Lytechinus pictus: one gene and its partner. The protein of the gene in region 1 purifies or fractionates together with the protein of each later gene. This does not show direct contact. Links are inferred from orthologs where the notes say so. Each region holds a gene or a part of one and is shown in the gene's direction. Other genes may lie near its edges.

Region 1 (10,837 bases):
CGACCGTTCCACTCGCAATCCCTCGTGCAACACTCGCATGTGATCGCACGAGCACAATAAGAGCATATGCGACTTACTCGTGCAACGGGGTTTACTGGTTGTTTTTGTTGTACGACAGTTGTTGCAACTGTGAAAGCCTCTGTGCGATCTTATGAGATGACTAGCGATTGATGCCTGTTGCAGCCTGTCGCACGACCAAAAGGTCGCAAATGGTCGTACGTCAATTGTGAAAGGGGCTTAAGCGATGCACACTTGACCTTGTTAGGCTGTATACTCTGATCGAGCGCCAAGTATTCAATGAATTATACTAGTGTAGAGAGCTTGAAATGTACTAATACAAATTTATATCCCACCAAAAGATGCAAATACCGTGGTGAGATTTGAACCCCGGACTATGTGCTTCAAAGTCCGGAGACTAATCCATAGACCCATCGCACTGTAGGAAAGGAATAAAGATTAAATAAGCATGCATGCATAACCTAATATGATTAATAACTTACATAATCCTCGAGTTATCTTGTGATCCTCCATTGTCATGCCCCAATTTGAATTGCTCAAGTCCAAGCACTCCTGATATATATATATATAAAGCAGTTTAAGCTGACATTGATAAAAAAATGAGTTATTAATTTTAACATGTGAGATACCAAAATAAAGCATTGCAGACAAGGGCTCATTTCAACACTTTTACAAAAAAGTGCCAGTTAGTAGTTATTGTCTTTTTTTTGCCGGGCTTTCAACCATTTATGATCACAAGGGGCGGATCCAGGATTTTTCTAAATGGGATATTTTTATTCGAAAAAGAATTGACAAGCAAAAACACAAAAAAATAAACATAAAGTTGTTTACGCCTAAACGATGGTGATTTATGTCAAGGGTAGACACTAAAAATATTTTTGTATGGCTGTCAAAACGGGGAAGGCCGGATGTGCCCGCCCCCTGCATCCGCCTCTGATCGTTGCTTCCATCTTCATCAGTTATTATATCCAACCAGCCATGGTTTCAAATCAAATGTAGATTTTGTGTAAAATGTGATCAAGAATCCTGTGATCCAACCTCAATGTCACCCATTGCATGGATCCAATGACCCACCGAAGGTTGGGGTTGTGAAAGGAAGAAAAGAAAGAAAGAAAACGAAATGTTTACAATATTATTCAAAAGACAAGACTGGATTTCATTTTTTTTTATTGAGAAAAAATGGGGAAACCCTTTGCCCCCAACAGAATATCCTGTGGTGCATTGCATTGTTTGTACAACAGATAAAATAAACAGCTAACTGCACTATAGCAACTGCTAAAGTACATAATGTGTACAAATAGTACTGCACATAAGAAGGAACTTCGGCCTACATGAAAAATTGATTGTAAACGTATATAGCCTTAGAGTGTTAGACAATTAGATATGACTTGTGTCAATTACAAAATAAATTACAAGCTCGTTCCCCATGATAACATTTATTTTACTTTCTTTTTCTTGGGATGAGGGTATATTCGAAATAATTGAAATGTGAGATAATATCATTCATAGTCCAATTTCCTTGCTTCTTTTGCCCAACCCTTAAGCTTATACGCCCCTGGCCTGGAATGTGAATGCTCAGTGTTCATTTCTAACGAGGACGAGTGAGAGGGGTTGATATGTACACTGACTGACATAGCAACACCCGATTCATTGCGCAATCCATTGAATGTTTTTTTTCTTCCCAAACCGGAAGCATCCTTAAAGGACAAGTCCACCCCAACAAAAGTTTATTTGAATAAAAAAAGAAAATCCAACAATCTTAACACTGAAAATTTCATCAAAATCGGATGTAAATTAAGAAAGTTATGTCATTTTAAACTTTTGCTTAATTTTACAAAAGAGTTATATGCACATCCTGGTCGGTATACAAATGAGGAGAGTTATGATGTCATCCACTCACTATTTCTTTTGTGTTTTATTATATGAGTTATGAAATATTCTATTTTTCTCCTCATTGTCAAGAGAAACAATGGTTTAATTCCTCCCTGAACATGTAGAATGAGCATTGTTTAATACTATATGGTTTAGTAAAATTGGTCTTTATTGTCAAATATGTAAAAAAATGAAATTTTGTATAATTCAAACAATAAAAAACAAAAGAAAAAGTGAGTGATGGACATCATCGACTGACTCATTTGCATGTCACTGAGTTATGCATATCACTGTTTTGTGAAATATAAGCGAAACTTCAAAATGCCATAACTTTCTTATTTTACATCCGATTTTGATGAAATTTTCAGCGTTATACTAGTTTGATTTATCTCTATTTATTCAAATCCACATTTTTCTGGGGTAGACTTGACCTTTAATACGTTCGATTTGAGCTACTTCAAAACCGCATACACGACACATGCATCATTCAGTAAATAATGGAATCCATATTTTTTGTACTGTCGCTATTATTGCTAAGATAATACTCACTTTTTCCCGCTCTCTTTGACAACCAGTAGGCGGTGGCGCTCCCGATCCCGCCACACCCCACGACGATATAATCAAACTCCCGAACATTTGACATGTTGGAAAGCTAGACTGAGTCTGTTTGGATTCTGGCTCTTACCTGTGAAGATATAGCTCATAACGTTAGGCCAAAGTATATGTTTAAATTAACCGGATAGCTAAAAAGGAAAAGGCTGGGCGAACTCTATAATCATTGTTGACAAGGAAAATAAAGCCAAGGTGAAGGTTTACTAAGGTTATATTTGAGCAAGACAATTATTCAGGGGCCGCAGAAGCGGGGGGGGGGGGCACTTTGAAAATCGTTCTGCAGCCCCTGTGATTGATTGTTTGCCTGATGTCATTTTGTGTCAGGTCTCTGGTGGGCTCCGAATCTCGGTCCGTCACCCTCCCCAATACAAGATAATCACAGAAATGTAGTCATTTGCTTAAAGGGATGGTCCAGGCTGGAAATATTTATATCTCAATAAATAGAGTAAAATTCACAGAGCAAAATGCTGAAAATTTGATCAAAATTGGATAACAAATAACAAAGTTATTGAATTTTTAAGATTTGCATTATTCTGGTGAAACAGTTCTAGGCATGTCTTTATGAATATTCATTAGGTTGGTTGATGATGTCATATCTCCACTTGTTCTTTTGTATTTTGTTATATAAAATTAGGTTTATTCAAAATTGTTCTACCAAGAACTAAAACAATTGGATTGAAAACTGATTAAGTGCATTAGTTATTTATTGCCGCAACTTATTTCATCATAATGGAGACACATCATTTACACATGTATAAAAAAAGGAAACATTTATGATTTCATGTAATAACATCAGAAAAAGGAAAGTGGGGAAGTGTCATCATCAGCCCACCTAATGAATATTCATGACGATATGCGTATAACTGTTTTTCACAAAATATAGCAAAATTTTAAAAATTCAATAACTTTGTTATTTGTTATCCGATTTTAATGAAATTTTCAGCATTTTGCTCTGTGAATTTTACTCTTTTTATTTAGATATAAATATTTTCAGCCCGGACCATCCCTTTAAGGGTATGGTTTCACACTTTCAGAATATGGAAAATACTTGTTTAGGGTGCTTTTCGAGACCCCATGGTCGCGCATGGTATCCACTCGTCAATTGAAAACTGATTAAGTGCATTAGTTATTTATTGCCGCAACTTATTTCATCATAATGGAGACACATCATTTACACATGTATAAAAAAAGGAAACATTTATGATTTCATGTAATAACATCAGAAAAAGGAAAGTGGGGAAGTGTCATCATCAGCCCACCTAATGAATATTCATGACGATATGCGTATAACTGTTTTTCACAAAATATAGCAAAATTTTAAAAATTCAATAACTTTGTTATTTGTTATCCGATTTTAATGAAATTTTCAGCATTTTGCTTTGTGAATTTTACTCTTTTTATTTAGATATACATATTTTCAGCCCGGACCATCCCTTTAAGGGTATGGTTTCACACTTTCAGAATATGGAAAATACTTGTTTAGGGTGCTTTTCGAGACCCCATGGTCGCTCATGGTATCCACTCGTCAATGGAAGTGCCCCCCGCCCCCCCCCCCCCGGGAAGCTGCATTCAAAGACAGCATAAATTAATCACCAAAGCTGTCACTTTTACCCAGTGTGCAGTATATCTTTCATCATAGCATGCATGTGTTATTAAATAGCTGCTACTTATGAGTATTACCTAGGGCCTTTTCACACGTGAATCTTGAATCGTGATCTTGACTGTGCCTTAGCGTTCGTAATTCTAATCATGTTTTATTTTGCTTTCACACGTGCCAAATATTCGTCATTAGCCTTATTTTGTACTGGAATCATCAGATTCGATTTTTTTTATCGTGTGAAAGGATGGAAAATCTAGCCGCTAGCATATGATTTGGGACCTTTTCACACGAGAATCTTGAATCATCGATTGTACTGATGATTCAAGGGCGGTAAACCTTCTCCTATAGATTCCTGGCAATTACGATATTCAACCGATTGAACCAACTATACGATGACGATTGTAAGAATAACATATAGTAACAGTATTATTTTATTCTGGCTATTTTTCAAAACAGCTGACAAATTTTGGCAGGTTTCTTAAACAAATCATTAATCTTCCCAGTCAGACAGTAATGTTTCAGGATTCAAGAGAATCTGATCAAGCTCAGTTTCCGATTCCACTATCAGCTAGGTCTATGACGATATTCTCGAAAAGCTAGGAGTTTCCAATAAGGCATTCCAATGGGGTTTAACAAAAGAGTGAACTTTCAGAATTAGCATAATTTACGTGAGGTTCAGTATGGACCGTTTTTTGTGTCGCCTATCATTTATGATGCGCTAGCTGTATGTGTGGGATATTTTTTTAATTTGTGATAAACAAATAAAATTCGTTAACTTGCTTTTAAATCGATTTTCATTCAATAAAAGTCATGAGATATCATTTTATCATGAAGGTAGAAAGAAACTTTGTTTATTAACTTTAACGGACGAATAAAATATGTTTCCAGGTAATTCATTAACATTGTGGTTCACATGGCGCATCATGATAAATGGGCGACACGAAATACAGGGGCCGCGGAACCGGGGGGGGGGCTGGGGGGGCTTCAGCCCCCCCCCCATTTTTTTCCAAAACCGTGTGCAAAAACGCAAAAATGACCATACGATTGTGATTTTCTGCATGGTCAGCCCCCCACTTTTGGCTCAGCCCCCCCCCCCCCCCCCTGAAATGAAACGGTAATATTGCAAATACCCTTTCGTGCAATCGGCCTTGACGGCCTAGTCTGCAGGCACAGACCCTGATTAAAACTTTGATCAACAAGTGTGTCTCCATGCAAAGACTAGTCATTAGCACATACAAAACTTGCTGAGCGAGAGGGCCTTCAGGTACACAAGGCATGGGAAGGCTGCAATGCTCAGAAAACCACGTGTACATGTATGCATGCATCATTCAGCGTTACCGGTACGTGTATGTATCGTCATCAACAGGGAGCAATGGACTTCCCATTTGGTCTAATCGGCACTATTGGAGAAGATGACAACGTGTCTATTGACTCTGAAGAAAGTAGTAGTGATGAAGAGGTAGAGTCTTTTTTTATGGAAATATTTTTGTCTTGTATTTATAAATAGGTGTAAATTTGTAATTTGCGATTCTACGTCAATCATTTACTCGTCTTCGGTCCCATGCACCGATATTCACGTGAGCTGGGTGAGGTGCCGAAGATCGGAGACGAAGTTCTTCTCCATCTCCATGACTCCAGACCCAGTCACTTTAGATCAGATCTAGGCATTGGGACCTCATTAAGGTTGAAAAGGCTTCCAGAGTAGTAGGACTCTCAACTTCAAGCACCATCGTACAAAATCCACTTATAATATATTGGATCAAAATTTTTACCTTGTTATAATAAAGTTATATTAATTTATAAAAATGTACTAGACTAGAGTCTAGAGTAGACTAACTTTAAGTTTAGTCTAATATGTTGGCATGGTTGGGATCTGTAAAAATGAGCATGCATGCGAGCGCTAACTTTTTTAAGATTTATTTAGAAAAGTGGAATGGCGCCAGGGGCATTGCAGGTGTGCACAAAAAATTTGTAGAATTATGTGCGCGTTGGCTAACTTTTCAGTGCGTTGCTGTCGATGTTGCTACTTAGTACATGATGCAGTATATGACGGCGGAAGAATCCTTGATTTCTGATTTTCTAGGAATGATCAATTCCAAATCAGGACAGTAAAAAGAGTCACCGAGCTAAGAGTAAGAGTTAGAAAGTAGAGTAAAGTGCCCAAATATCAGACACTTAAAGGACAAGTCCACCCCAACAAAAAGTTGATTTGAAAAAAGGAGAAAAATCCAACAAGCAAAACACTGAAAATTTCATCAAAATCGGATGTAAAATAAGAAAGTTATGACATTTTAAAGTTTCGCTTAATTTCACAAAAAAGTTATATGCACATCCTGGTCGGTATGCAAATTGGCAGACTGATGACGTCACCCACTCACTATTTCTTTTGTATTTTATTATATGAAATATGAAATATTCTCATTTCTCCTCCTTGTCAAGTGAAACAAAGTTTTATTTCGCCCTGAACATGTGGACTTACCATTATTTTAACAGTTTATGGTTAAGTTTAGTTGGTCCTTATTGTCAAATCTGTAAAAATTGAAATATTGTATTATTCAAACAATAAAAAACAAAAGAAATAGTGAGTGATGGACATCATCGACTCGCTCATTTGCATATTGCTGAGTTCTGCATTTAACTGTTTTGTGAAAAATAAGCGAAACTTAAAAATGTCATAACTTTCTTATTTTACATCCAATTTCGATGACATTTGCAGCGTTATGTTTGTTTGATTTTTCTCTACCGATTCAAATCAACAATTTTCTGGGGTGGACTTGACCTTTAAGCATAATTGGACCAAAACAAAAATCCAATCAATGAATCAAATAAAAATCATGTGTATTTCTGCATTACAAATGTTGAATATTAATGTCATAAAAAAAATAGAATTGAAAAAATATGGTAAACGGAAATTATATACTTAATACCAGAAGCTTGTCTTTTGCCAAATATAGGACGCAGTTTCCAAATATCGGGCATGTAAAGTTGTGCGCCGCAATCAATTTCGGCGATACCCCAAAATAATTGCTTGATTGTTAAAAAAATAACTTAAATCAACTGCGCAAATGCCAATTTCAATTATTACTATCAATAATTTTGATTTAGAAATCGGTAAATAATAATTAATTACTTACCAAATGGACCTCTTTCGGCTCTAAACGTCGGACCTCTTTCGGCTCTAAACGTCGGACCTCTTTCGGCTCTAAACGTCGGACATCTTCGCTCAACTGCGCGTGACTTCGTTCTGAAAACGAGCGCATGTGTCAACAGCACGCATTTCCAATTCAATCGGCCGATATGTCCGATGCTTGGGAGAGTGCCATATTTGGAAGGGTGTCAAATTTACCGCTGTGGGGAACCCCCGCAGCGGCAATTGCAGATTTTCTTGCGATAGATCGAACATGTGCGATCTTGGCAGCGATATTTCCAGCAGAAATCACTTCCCCCTTACGAGATTTTTTTGGTCATCGATCTTTTGGAGTCCATAATTAGCAAGGGTCATTAGTAACTTTGGAAGTCAAAATCATGGATTTTACCACTGGAATATTTTTTTTGAGCAGCAACCTGGATCTACTGTGTGTGCAGTTCAATAGTAGGTCTATTTCATGCATGCAAGTCCCCCGCGTCCGATATTTGGAACCGTCCAATTTTTGGGTTTTTTACTCTACTAAAGGAAAGGATTGTTCCAGAAAACAAGGCCAAGGACATGAAGGACATCTTACATAAACTAAGACAAATCATGTCTTGATGAATTGAGATTGTCCTTGTTGATGGGCATTTTTTTTTCACTTCCCCCTGTGGGACATAGATAGCAATTACGAGAAGTAAGAATGCTAAAATTAGATTCTGTGACCTGAATTCACTCCAGGTCCAGTGCACTGTCTGTTATGACTTGCTGTCTGCCTTAAAGATCTTGTTATGAAACACGAACTAGCGCTCTAATTTAATGTCCTCTATGTGTCGTTGCCTAATGGGCGAATTAACTTTCCTCTAGATTTCCTTTGTGGAGAAATGAAAAACAAAGACATTCCCAGTAAACAAGGACAATCCACATCTCATTTTCAGTCGGGGCCTCTACTGCAATTGGTCATCGCATTATGTTTGATTGATTGTATGAAACTTTGATCATATGAAATGTTTTCTAGAATCTAGACCTTATGTTTGTGGGTAGTTATCCCTGCAACATAGAATTTATAAAAACAAGAGCTAGGCATCTTGGAGTGTAACCTCTCAATACCGCATACAATGTAAGTTTTACTCTTCAAACTCCTGGCTATTTAAAACTGAGTTTGGTTACGTTAATGCTTTCTGAAAGTCTTGTCTTCAAGTTTTACAATCAAGCAATACCTTTGAATATATTTTCCTCATTAAAGGCTGCCCAACCAAAGAAGGTGACTGGTAAACAGAAGAAGAAAGCTGTGGATTTTTCTCAGGATTTTGAGTTCACTAATTCATTATCAGATGATGATGACCCGTGGTCAGCTGACCTCGTCTCTCACGCATCATCTCAGAGGGTTTCAACATCTTTAGAACAGAAAATAGCAAAGATAAGAAGAGACAGAAAAAAGGTAATTTCATTTTCTGCTTTCAATAGTGTAGTCATGAAGGTACATGTAAATGTATTTGGAAAGCCTCCAAAAGTGCATTTCATCTTTTGAGCAGAGAATAGCAAAGATAAGAGAAAGGTAAAATGTATTTGGAAATCCCCATAAGTACATCCTGTTGAAATTCTTTAAATTTGATGTTTATTTGTATATTAAAATGAATATCATGATTTTTTTTATTTTGCATGTTCATGTATGTATGATATCAATTCATTTATAATATCAATGTTTGGTCTTCTATCTTAATAGAAAAATATCTTTTGAATGTTTATTTTTTAGGGGGCGGGGTTGAAAACCTTCATAGTAAATTACATGTTTTCAGGAATCATGGCAGGCTGGAATAAGATGCGTTTCTCTGGTAGGCACATGACTCGTGTATTTTTGGCCTTGTAGTGGCAAAATATATGAAAAAATAAGAACAGATACAATTGCTATGTAGTACTTTAATCAGAAAATTTTCATCCATTAATAGATAAAAACAATCTCAGTGTTTGTATTGTGGGATGTGGTCAATTCCAGCGTAACGGACATGACGTTCAGACAAATTTTTGTAATTCAAAGGTAAATACAGTAGAATTAGCAGTCTTTTGATAATTGTTACTGAGCTTATCAGACACATTTAAGTATCAGTTACATACACATGAAATTTCAAATCGTTTCGTTGAACAGTTGCAGAGAAATTGCACTCTTTGTGAGCGTAACGGACATGACACGAAATGGACGAAGCATTTTTACCTCCTATTGCTTATCAAAATTCCTGTGAATTCTTAGATTGCATGCACCTGATGTTGGTGTTAATTTAACCTTAAGATCATGCTCTATCCATAAAATGGTGTTTAACAACAGTTTTGCAGTGCATTCTGTATTCATAGCTCAAAATGTAGCGTAACGGACATGACACACGAAGCGTAACGGACATGACAGTTTCGTCCACTTTTTGTAAGCGAATATAATTATTAAATTACAAGATCTGGTACAAGTCTAATTGTTTACATGTTAAGGCTAGAGGTTAGAGACACACATCATAACTGGTAATCTGTAATATCTCCTATTATTTTGCAATTTGAGAGAGGGGCTTTTCGTACAATATTTATAAAACAAACAAATATTTAGAAAAATTTATTTTACACCAATTAACAATAGTTAATGAGTATTTTCCAGTTTCTACCATCCGCCGCACCAAACTAAAAGATAAAAAGTTGATAGTAAAGATTATTTTTTATTCATGGCTTACTATTTGACAATATACTTAGCGTAACGGACATGACACCCTTACGAAGTGAACTTCATCAGCACTTCTTAGTTTCAAAATGAAAGAAATATGAATGAATGAATGTAATTATGAAACAGCAAAGTACCTTTACTAACATTCTTAAGAAAAATATGTAGATATTATTGGCAGGTATTATTAGACTACATGATAATTTTATATAGAATACAATGCTTAATAGTACCGCTACGGCACACTGAGAAGGCCAAATCTCATTTTTTGTGAGAAGAAAACAAAATGTACCAGACCTGCATAAATCCAAGATGAACATATGAAATTTATTTTATGATAAAGAATATGAACTAGTATTAATGTGGGTCAATCCACGTCAAATCAACCAATTTTTAGACAATTTGTCACCCAACCCCCTTCGATTTTCTTTAAACTCGCACCAAATGTTCCCCCAAGTGTCTGACGGAAAAAAATGAAATATTTTGCCCCAAGGTCAAACGGTTGCTAAGTTATGGCCTCCCTTAGCAACCAATGTCTGGTCAAACAATAAAGTTTAAATAAAATTAGCTATTTTTGATTGACTGCTGGAGCCAAGTTTGATGACGCAGTGTTCTAATTTTCTGTAAATTGGAAGAACTTTATAGTCTTAACACACACAATATAATTAGACGTGGATCTGACCAGCCGTTATTGCGCACAAGGTCGCCGAACATGGTGTTAAGCGTCCAAGTCAATGTTTTTGGGTGCATGTTTGGAGGCTCATAACTTCCAAATTCAATTAGCTTAGAACCCAATATTATGCATATTTGAAGACTATGACTTGCTCAACAGACCTACAAAAAATTGGCCCTACCATGCGTGTCAATTTCTTGTAGGGCGCCCTCAAAGTTTGATTTTTTCTAAAAGTTG
Region 2 (11,375 bases), about 47 Mb from region 1:
GGGGAAAGGGAGAGAAAGAGAAGGGAGAACGGAGGGGTCATATCATTGTATGAACAGGATATTTTATGATTATGCCCCGAGCATTAGTGCGAAGCTCAATGCGAGATAAGAACAAAACAGAGGGGGCACACCATGGTGCACGCAGCAAAAATTTGCTTAATAATAAGTCTCCAGCGAGCGAAGCGAGCAAGAATAAAAATCACCTTCAATTTTGAGATTGATTTTGACATGGTATGCAGAAAATGACATATATTTCCTCTTCCTTTTCTTTCTTTCCTTTTATCATTTTTTTTTCTCGGTTGTAGAACTTTTTTTTTTTTTTTTTTTTTTTTTTTTGGGGGGGGGGGGGCAGTGCTATGCGGTTCGGGTCCGGGGCAATGACGGTACTAGGGTTTTTAACCTAGGAGGAGGCAAACAAACATTTTGGGGCCGGGGGGATGGCACACATTTTAAAAAAAAGCGCGAGCTAATTTTATTGCAAATACAGTCCCTACTGATTTAAAAAGGGAACTGTTAAGAATCAGCTGTTTGCATTAATTGGGTCATGAAGATGATATCTCACCAAATGAATAATGCGAGCGCGAAGCGTGAGCTGAAAATTTTTGATATCCGGGATGATACCTGGCCGTTCTAAGCTTTTTTTTAAATTATAAAATGAATGGCTATCTAAATCGCTGAAAATAAATCCTCTATGGAAATTATGAATACGCAGGATATGTATCTCGCTAAAACAAATAATGAAAACTCTAATAACATTTGATTTTTAAGCCCCATGTGAACAGATAATCATTAATAACTGCGAGCGCGTATCGCGAGCTACATTTTGAATTTTATATAATGGCCTGAAAGATTTATGTTAGTGACCAAAATTGTTGGGATCTAAATGCTAACGGTGAATGGATGAGAATATTTTTAAAATTTAAAGAACAAAAAACATTTTTGGAGTATTATGACAACGTTTACTATACATTTTGTTTCTTCAAATTTCGGGGGGGGGGGGGGCAACTCACTGGGGCCTCCCCATTCGGTGGCGCCACTGGTCTGGGGCGGAGCCCCCAGAACCTCGTGATATTTTTAAACATTGCAGATGGCCATTTTTTTTAAATCAAATCGCGGATACATACATCACATATTATATTAAGTTGCTAATTAATTGAATTGAAGGCTACACGTGCAAAAGAAAATGTCTCATGAGAATTATTCGAAGATTAGAGGAGCTTTATACTCATATTTTATATTTTGACAATACGTTTTCTATCGATATACGCCCCCATCTTTTCTCCAAGAGATGACGATCTACAACAGAAGGCTGAAGATATTAATTCGACCCAACCCATTCTCATTTTTTTAATTTGTAAGTTGATTACAAAAAAGAATATGTATAATGATTAGACTGATTCTAGAAACAGAGAATGGGCAACCATTGAACATATTTTGTGCAAATAAAAGAAAAATACAGGTGTCACTCAGCTTTCGGAGCTATTTTATTGGCGGAGGATTTAGGACTGAGTATAATATATGAATAAGATCTGCTCATGAGATGCTTTAACCAGTTGCCCCCTAAATGTGCATGCGCCGGGTCAAGCTAGTGTTTATCTGGTTGCCCGAGTCGAGTTCTCCAAGTTAGGGTACGTGGTTACCCTGGCTAGGCCGTCGGGATATCCCTGGGGGCCCCTTGAAAAAATACTTTTAATTTTAAAAATGCGATAAATATCCCTTTATTCCCTTTACTTTTGTTAATTTGAGCCCCCTAAATGTGCATGCACCTGGTCAAGCTAGTGTTTACCTGGTTGCCCGAGTCGAGTTCTACAAGTTAGGATACGTGGTTACCCTGGCTAGGCCGTCGGGATATCCCTGGGGGCCCCTTGAAAAATTACTTTATTTTAATTTAAAAAAATGCGATAAATAGCCCTTTATTCCCTTTAATTTTGTTAATTTGAGCCCCCTAAATGTACATGCGCCGGGTCAAGTCAGTGTTTATCTGGTTGCCCGAGTCGAGTTCTACAAGTTAGGGTACGTGGTTACCCTGGCTAGGCCGTCGGGATATCACTGGGGGCCCCTTGAAAAATACTTTATTTTAATTTTTAAAATGCGATAAATAGCCCTTTATTCCCTTTAATTTTGTTAATTTGAGCCCCCTAAATGTACATGCGCCGGGTCAAGTCAGTGTTTATCTGGTTGCCCGAGTCGAGTTCTACAAGTTAGGGTACGTGGTTACCCAGGCTAGGCCGTCGGGATATCCCTGGGTGCCCCTTGAAAAATACTTATTTTAATTTTAAAAATGCGATAAATAGCCCTTTATTCCCTTTAATTTTGTTAATTTGAGCCCCCTAAATGTGCATGCGCCGGGTCAATTAAGTCAGTGTTTATCTATTGCCCGAGTCGAGTTCTACAAGTTAGGGTACGTGGTTACCCTGGCTAGGCCGTCGGGATATCCCTGCATGGGGGCCTCTTGAAAAATTACTTTATTACACACACACCGCAAAAAATAGCCGGTGCCCCCCCCCCCCCTGAAAAAGCAAGGACCCCCAGTCCCCCCCCCCGGGAAAAAATCCTAGCTACGCCACTGTCTGCGAAGGTCCGAAAACGCTGGAAAAAGCCATGTTAAAGTGAATTTTTGTTGCACGTGGTCTTATCATGCATGCACTGCACTGCGTGCACGTGTGTTGGCTGTTGGCTGTGCGAAAGACGAAATCAGAGAGCAGGAAGTGGAAAGCGAACTACCCGATTTCGTTTTCGCTGTCTGCGTTTTTCCAAACAGAATCAGGGGGTAGAAAGCGTGTTCTGATTTTGTTTTTAATATATAACAAACACAGGTATAGAATGAGGTATCAGAGAGGACCAAAAGTATTTCTGATTTCATTCTTCTGTTTTTGATCTCCAAAAATGAAATCACAACGGGGTTTTTCTCGTTGTGATTTCGTTTTTGTGTTTTCAAAGACCAATCCATGAGGTTGACTTCCGTTTTTGCTCTACGAAAATCAGGAATGAAAAACGAATTATCCATTAGTACCCTGATTCGCATGTCTATCTAGATACTCAACTTGTTAGTATTTCAACCATTATCCAGTTTCTGAAATACAAAATTCTGCTAGCGCTTTGTGCTCGCATTTTTTATGTAGGAAGAACCCCTATTACTCATCCTTATTATACAAAACAGGAATAGAGTGTCCCATTTTTTAGGTCTAAAATTTAAATGTCGATTTTTTTTCCGCTCGCGCTTCGCGCTCGCATTAATTGTTTTATAACGACGATCCTGTTCATGGTCACAATAATTGATTAAAATTTTCCATTCTTTATGTAGAAGTGTAAAAAAAAAATCGGCTTGCGCTTGCATTATTTTATTGTTGAAATATGTAACGTCTCCATGGCTAAGTGAAATAAGCAGTCCTTAACAGGTACCTTTTTGATCAGTTCAAAACGTATACAAAAATCTTATGCTCGCTAATTTGCGCGAGCATTATTAAAGTAACAAAGATCGGCAATTTAACATCCTTTCCATGATGATTTAAAAGACATGACTAGACATGTCTCGTTTTTAGGTCTAAATCTTCCAATTTTGTGCTCGCGCTTCGCATCAATTGCTAAGTTATATACCTATCCTGTTTAAGTTACAAAAAGTGCCTATGATTTCAATTCTGTTCGCACTTCGCGTTCTTAGTAATTATTTAGTTGCATACACGTCTTTTTCATGATAAACATTGCCCAGAAATTTCAAACTTTGGGGAAAAACATATTTTTTTTTTATAAATTAGCTCGCACTATATAAAAAGGGTTATGATATTATATATTTATGTTGATTTATAAGACAAAAGCTAAGAAGTGACATTTCTTCAAAGAAACAAATATAAATCATATTCGCGCGGCCGATTGGGGAAAAATAATGGTGAAAAAAAATTTGCCCCCCCCCCCCCCTTTGGCGAAAGCTGGATCCACCCCTTCATCCTATTTATTTCTCTCCTTCCGTCCATTTCTCCATTCTTCCAGGAGCCGCGGAATAGTTTTGAAAAATGTTTTTTCAAAACTTTTTTTTGGTATTTCTACCAATAAATTAATGAAAATAATGCGGTACAAAAATCAATGTCATTCTTCTTCCTGTTTTAAACTATATACGTGTACAAAAAACGCACCACTAGCTAAAAAAAACAAAAAAAAACTTGGGGGTCACAACCCGAGCACCCCACTTCCCAGGGCCATATACAAGGATTCTAATTTATTAATTTTAACGAAAGCATGAGACATCATTTGTTGAAAAAAAATTAAAGAGAGCTATTAATGACTGCATGTGGTCCTACCGGTAAGCTAGATCTGCGCACAAAACTGCTTTCATATGACACGCAAAAGGGATAAATCTTAGTGGAAAAGTGGGATAAAGCAAACAGGATTTAGAAACTGCCTTCGTTGGCGTTCAATAATATGGGTGGTATGATACAAATTCTGCTAGCTTATTCGTACTATTATTTCTGGCCATTGTACTTAGATGTATATTTTAATGTGGAAACATTTTTAATTTTTTTTTATGATACAAATCGAGCGAGGCAAGTACAATGATATGGGGCAGAGTTCCAAGTCTTCATGCCCCAGACTGAATATATTTTGACATCAACTTACTCCAAAAACAAGTGTTATGTTTTATTTTGTATTATTCATTTTTTAAGTATAAGGTAAAATTATAAGTCTCGGAGTGTCAGTTAATGCTGCAAAAGATGTATAAGGCCTACTCTTTTGCAGCACTATCCAGCTACCGCGGCGAGGACGCCCTCCGAGAAGGTAGCCATATCAAAACTAAAAACAAAAAATTCCACTTAGATTACTGGTGGATCCAAGGGGCATAATTATCGAGAGCCAAATTTGTAATTTGTAACATAAACATGCCCTTTTTACCCAAGCATGCCCCTTGAAAGTGAGGATATATATAGGCCCAATTTTTTTGCTTGTCAATTTTTAGGGACGAAATTTTGAATTTTTTTTAAAAACATTTTGTAATGCTTATCAAATTTGCATCGGGAAAATGTGCCTCCATAGGCCCTGTCCCCCTTAATTTGAGGTGGGGACCATTGGCAACGTAAAGCAAAAATTTAGGGGGGGGGGGGGGACCACCAAAATTTTGTGAAAAGCCCCCCCCAAAAAAAAAAAAAGTTTATCAACCCAAATTTTAGGGGAGACCACATGAAATTTTTAGGGGGGTCCACTGGAATTTAGGGGGCAGGCAGGAAAAAAAAATTACAAGCAAATAAACAAAAGGTTATCAACAAAAAAAATTAGGGGGGGGCGATTGTCCCCCCACCTCAAATTTAGGGGGGACACGACCCCCCCCCCCCCCCCCCCCCGCTGCCTATGGGGGACGTTGTTGGGTTTTTTTTGGCTAATTTTTTTTTTTCGGTCCCCCCCCCCTTTTTTTGTCAAAAATGTTGGTGCCCCCCCCCCTTAATTTTTTGACTGCCGCCGCTAATAGTGCCCCCTCTCCTTTGGAAAATCCTGGACCCTCCCTTGCCTAGATATAGATGTTTAAAGAATTAATTATTTTGAAAGTCAGAGTGCCCCTGCCCCCCCCATGCTTTAGTTATCATGGCATAAAACTTATGTCATATCTAATCCTTAAATCAGCAAGAGGTCAGAGCATACAGTATCCGTCACCAAACGACTGCATTTGAGCCATTTATTTTCTCTTTTCTCTTCTTTCTATTTTTGGTTGTTATTTAATCATTGTTTATTTGGATAAGCTCGGATCCGAGACTAACTGGGACGGTGAACGCACTTTCGTTCGAGTTGTGTATTTGGGTAACAATACGCCGAGGCGAGAAAGGACACGCCCACAATCCCTCGTTCAGTGCCGAGCTCTGAGAATACGTGTCGACGAAATTTCAAAATGAAATTTGTACACAAATCTGTCACAATTCGGACCCACTTTAGCCTCAGATTAACAGATAATTAGATCTCTTTGTAACACTAAAAGTCATTCACTTGGGGTTTTTTAATATGCTGATTCAGGTGAGGTACTTTTCAATGCTTTTAAACATAGATTAAAAAAATTAGATTTTCGTTTTGGGATCCCTACGAAAGGTGTTGAATCAAATCTAAGTAGGACCTATCAACAGTGCAGTGATAACGGCATTGCCATTGACTTTGAAGTTGAACTTGTGTCTTTTTGTGATGCACATGTTTACTATAATTTCATTCATAGGTTAATAATAGCTTGCGATCATGGCTGGATGGTGTCATGTAATAAGCAAAGCGTACATTGAATGCTATATGCAATACATCAATGTGAAAAACAGAATGATGCTTATTTGTCAAATCTAGGATCAAAATGTTTTTCACACCATGTATTTTAATCTTTACAGTTCAAGAGTGGTATAGCAACTAGCTTCATAACAAGAGCATCAGCTGTGAAGAGACTCCAGTTAAATCTTGTCAATTTCAGGTGAGAGTCAAGTAATTTGACTTTTTTATGTCACTTAAATTTGATTTTTTTTTTTTTTTTACTTAAAAAATAGCCAAGATAATATGTAACTAAAAAAAATGTTTTAATCTGAATAAAGTAAATGATGATGTTTGATCCATCTTGGATAGCCACATTTGAAACTGGAATATCTGCAAATCCAGAACTGAAAAAAAAATCAAATAAACAAACATGAGGGCTATCAGCCATTGCCCCCCCCCCCAAATATGATTGTTAAGAATATCACTTGGAAGTAACAAGAGAACCAAACACATTGTTAGGTACATATACAGTGAATACAATACATGAAAGAAGAAAGGCCCCTGTAAAGAAAGTCTTTTTTAAGCTGACTAATCAGGCAAAATTTCATTTTGAAGACTGAAATGTTGCGTCAGCCAGGGCATACCTCTTTTGAAAATTATCATAGGACTAATTCATTGTTGGTGGAGGAGGGGGGGGGGGCTCCTTTGACATTAACATAATTTGACCAGTCTACATCCTTGTATAATTAAAGGTCAAGTCCACCCCAGAAAATGTTGATTTGAATTAATAGAGAAAAATCAAACAAACAACGCTGAAAATTTCATCAAAATCGGATGTGAAATAAAAAAGTAATAAAAAAGTTATTGCATTTTGAAGTTTCGCTTATTTTTCACAAAACAGATATGCACAATGCACGATGATGTCTATTACTCACCATTTCTTTTGTTTTTTATTGTTTGAATTATACAATATTTAATTTTTTACATATTTGACAAATAGGACCACCTTGACTGAACCATATATTATTAGACAATGCTCATTCCACATGTTCAGGGAGGAATTGTTGTTTCCCTTGACAATGAAGAGAAAATTAGAATATTTCATGGAATGAAATACAAAAGAAATAGTGAGTGGATGATGTCATCAGTCTCCTCATTTGCATACCGACCAGGTCGTGCATATAACTGTTTTGTGAAATTAAGCGAAACTTTAAAATGTCATAACTTTATTATTGTACATGTACATCCGATTTTGATGATATTTTCAGTGTTATGCTTGTTGGATTTTTCTCTTTTTATTCAAATCAACTTTTTGTTGGGGTAGACTTGTCCTTTAGGGAATGGTTAATGAATATTTCCATTGAATATTTTTTTTTGTTATTTTTTCTTTTGCTATATATCTTTATCTTTCTGTCTTTCTTTACAGGAGGCTGTGTATTCTGAAAGGGGTGTATCCGGTTGAACCAAAGAGTATCAAGAAGGCCGGAAAGGGGCAGAAACTTCACAGAACCTATTTCAGATTCAAAGACATCCAATTTTTGGCTCATGAACCCATCGTTCAAAAGTTCAGGGATCATAGGGTATGTATGCTTTTCAAAGAATGTATTGATTGATATTCACAGAATGATGATTTTCAATCTTATTTTTAAGGGGAAAAAAGGGTGATATTATTTCTGATAATTTTATCACAATTTTGCCCCAAACACCTTGTTCTGCCTCCTGAAAATAATCCTGAACAGAAAATTCAAGCATGTCCCTTATCCTGTACCTTCAGAGAAGTTCAAACATGAATTGTTCAGGAGCTAATTTCACGTCACGACTGCTTGTGTTTTTGATGCTACACCCGTGTAGTATTTAAGGCCTGATGAAAAACATTTGTTTTTTCGTTCTTTGGGTATTTTATTTTATCTTTGCCTGTCAAGTTCAGAGAGGATAAAAAATCAAGATGTGAAAGATGTATAATACAAATTTATCACAAAATAGTATGAGTGTCAGCATGAAAAGAATGTGGAAAGAGATTGTTAAATTGGTATTGGTGTCTAGGTGAACGAATGCTTGTATTTGAAGACAAAAAAGGGCCTGTTTAGTGTTGAAGGTCCAATTTCAGAGAAAACTGTTTAAAAGTGATTAGGAAATACTGATTATAATGTCCCAAAATATTAATGAGTGGGACATTGTATGATTTTGAAATCATTGAAATATGTATCGATTAACTATTTTTGCTGATTCACATGACCCACACTTAGTAATGGCTGGATGGGACTACACACAAATGTTCTGCCCAAACATATTTTGAATATCAGGACATCTGCAGGACTTGACATTTTTACCATCATAATCTTCCTTAATGAAGTGAAAATAACCCGAAAGTTCACATTGAATATATAGATTTTCCTTTCAAATTAATATATTGGGGAGTTCTTTTATTTTATCTTCTTTTTATTGTGATAACTCTTAGTTTATTTACCATATGATGTGCACTGTTTGTCTGACCCTTGATGTATATGTACAAGTATTCATTAGAATCCAGATTTTAATCTTAATCTTTCAATTTTTTTTTCTTTTACTCTTTTCTTTCTGGGTTTTCAGGTTTTTGTAAGGAAAGTGAGGAAAGCTAAGGCCAAGCGAGAATGGACATCATTGGACAGACTTAATCGCAATGAACCCAAGTATAAGCTCGATCACATTGTTAAAGAGAGGTATTCAATTCATTTCAATTTTTCATTTTTGACAGAACAAAGTAAAGTGGTCGAAAATAATTACAATGACATTTGCAAATGAAATTTATACAAACAATATAGATTGAAGATGTGAATATGAACTAAAATCTTGGGGTTTAATCTATTTTATGTTAATGGCCTAATGAAAAATAATCATTAAAGATACGAATGATAGTATTGGATGACTTTTCCTCATACAAATATTCAACTTTTGAGGGCCAATACTTCACTCTTGTATGATTCATTCAGTATTATTTACGTTGTTGAATATTATTAGTGTCCCATTCTGAACCATCAGCTATCCCAAAGAGTTTAAATGTTGTATTTTAAGGAAGTTTGGACTGGAATCATTGGATTAGAATATTTTTCTTGATCTTTGTGTTTGACAGATACCCAACGTTTGTTGATGCTCTCCGTGACCTTGAAGACCCTTTGACCTTGTGCTCATTGTTCAGTACATTTCGTAAGAATGCCAAAGTGAAGAGCGAAGTTCTCCCCCTCTGCAGACGACTTGTCGTAGAGTTCATGAACTATGTCATCGCATCAAGGTCACTCAAAAAGGTGAGATTCATGAATAAAGTCTCTGACAAAAACAATTAGAGTTTTTGTGGATCAGTAGAAATCTCTAGAAATTGATTTACCAGTATTAATCTGTATTTGCCTCACATGACCCAGGTGTAGTAAGTGGGTATCTAGTAGGATTCATGCACTTAGTGCTGACAGAAAACCAATTTGGGTATGACATGTGGCATAGAAACAGGTTACCAGTCAAATGTAAAAGTCAAGTATGAACTTACCTGTTAACTTATATTAAGCCAATAGGTATAATCGCTAACTTGAATAGATGGCAAGTATAAAATTTGCAAAATCTGTTATATCTTGATGTGTTGTTCATTCCATGTAGGTTTTCCTGTCCATCAAAGGGATCTACTTCCAGGTGGAGATTGAGGGACAGCTATTAACATGGCTCATTCCGTATAACTTTGGATATTCGGTTGGTATTTCTTCTTGCTATGGTGTTTTGTACAGTGAAACCTGTGTTCAAAGATCCTTTAGGCAAATATTGTTATGAAATGTGAGAGGGTCTGCCATAGGCTTCAGGGCAGGAGGCAGGGGCGCAACCCCCTTATTCTTTTCAAGTGAAAAGGAGAGGACAGGGATTGCGGGGAAAGTATAATAGAGTACCAAAGTATGACGTCATCAATTTTTACTTTTTGCATTTCAGCGCTTTTCATACCATAATTTAGTAGAGCATGATGAAAAACCCCCACAACACAAATTTGGTGAGAATTGGTTCATGGGGCCCCAAGTTATGACCTCACGAATACATAATTAACCCCATTGAATTCAATGTATTATTGGCCTGGTTCTAAAAGTTAGGAACCAGGCGAATAATGCATTGGCTTCAATGGGGCTAATTACCGGTAAGTATTCATGAGGTCATATCTCAGGCCCCCATGGACGGATTCTCATTAATTTTGGTGGTGGGGGATTTTCATCATGCGCTACCTAAATATGGTATCAAAAACGCTCAAATGCAAAAAAAAAGTTTTTTGTGACGTCATCACTTCGGTACTCTATAAAGGATGAGAAAGAAAAAGAGTATTGAGAAGATAATGCCGAATTGTGAAACTTCGGAATACCTTTCTAAGTGTTTTCATTATTATAGTCACATTTTGGACACCTTGCCTCTACTGTCAAAATACCAAGTTGCCACCGTTTCTAACAAGCACACAAAATGGGGTTTATATCTCTGTTGCCCCAAATGTGTTTTTGGAGCCCCATATTTGTATTTCTGTGTGTAGTGCTTACTCTCAACGTGATAAGAATATTGTTATCATCCTCTTTTTCCCAAATCTGATAGCAGATGCTCACACTGAAAATATCTCTTTGATGTTTAAATCTCGGAACCAAATTTGGTCAACAAATTTATTGTAAAGTTCCAAAGAAATATTTCATTTCTAATTTCATTATCTCAGGTACTGTTATATAAAGTTTGAAAATGTCATGGCAGCAATAGAAAGGGTACAGATGTCACTAATTAGCAACGTTAAACTGATTAAATAATTTTTTTTTTAATGGGACATTGCATCACTGCTACATGTATGTTTAGTTATGATCTCTTCCTGCCTTAGGCACCAAAGATTCAGGTGCTAGATATTTAGATGTGATAAACTCTGATTCTGTTTTTAGTCAAAAGTCTTTTGTAACAATGTTTTTATTTTCGCTGTTTCATCCTTGATTCTTTGTTACAGGTGCCCGGTGATGTTGATTTGAAGATCATGTCTACATTCACAGAGTTCTACACCACTCTCTTAGGTTTTGTCAACTTCAAACTCTTCACAAGTCTTAACCTTCACTATCCTCCCAAGGTAAGATGGAAGTGGGTTCAGCAAGGCCATGCATGACCTATGGCCCTTGTGCATTGTCGCCATCTTAGAGGCACAAGCC

The links. The genes of interacting proteins can lie anywhere in the genome.
Region 2: the proteins of probable ATP-dependent RNA helicase DDX27 (region 1) and pescadillo-like purify together in Homo sapiens (affinity purification with mass spectrometry; 4 studies listed by BioGRID and IntAct, counting the BioPlex papers as one, with this or other methods). This does not show direct contact. The link is inferred for Lytechinus pictus from reciprocal best matches to the Homo sapiens genes DDX27 and PES1.

The regions. Positions count from the first base shown.
Region 1 is NC_087246.1:68,126,763-68,137,599, forward strand, and holds the start of probable ATP-dependent RNA helicase DDX27, read left to right. Parts: upstream 1-5,370; 5' UTR 5,371-5,417; coding exon 5,418-5,561; intron 5,562-8,475; coding exon 8,476-8,670; intron 8,671-10,837. Other genes in the region: monomeric sarcosine oxidase-like, read right to left, coding at 501-570, 2,440-2,533. UniProt on the Homo sapiens protein: Probable ATP-dependent RNA helicase. Component of the nucleolar ribosomal RNA (rRNA) processing machinery that regulates 3' end formation of ribosomal 47S rRNA.
Region 2 is NC_087246.1:20,640,239-20,651,613, forward strand, and holds the start of pescadillo-like, read left to right. Parts: upstream 1-5,979; coding exon 5,980-5,991; intron 5,992-6,344; coding exon 6,345-6,424; intron 6,425-7,630; coding exon 7,631-7,784; intron 7,785-8,793; coding exon 8,794-8,903; intron 8,904-9,313; coding exon 9,314-9,485; intron 9,486-9,828; coding exon 9,829-9,918; intron 9,919-11,179; coding exon 11,180-11,296; intron 11,297-11,375. UniProt on the Homo sapiens protein: Component of the PeBoW complex, which is required for maturation of 28S and 5.8S ribosomal RNAs and formation of the 60S ribosome.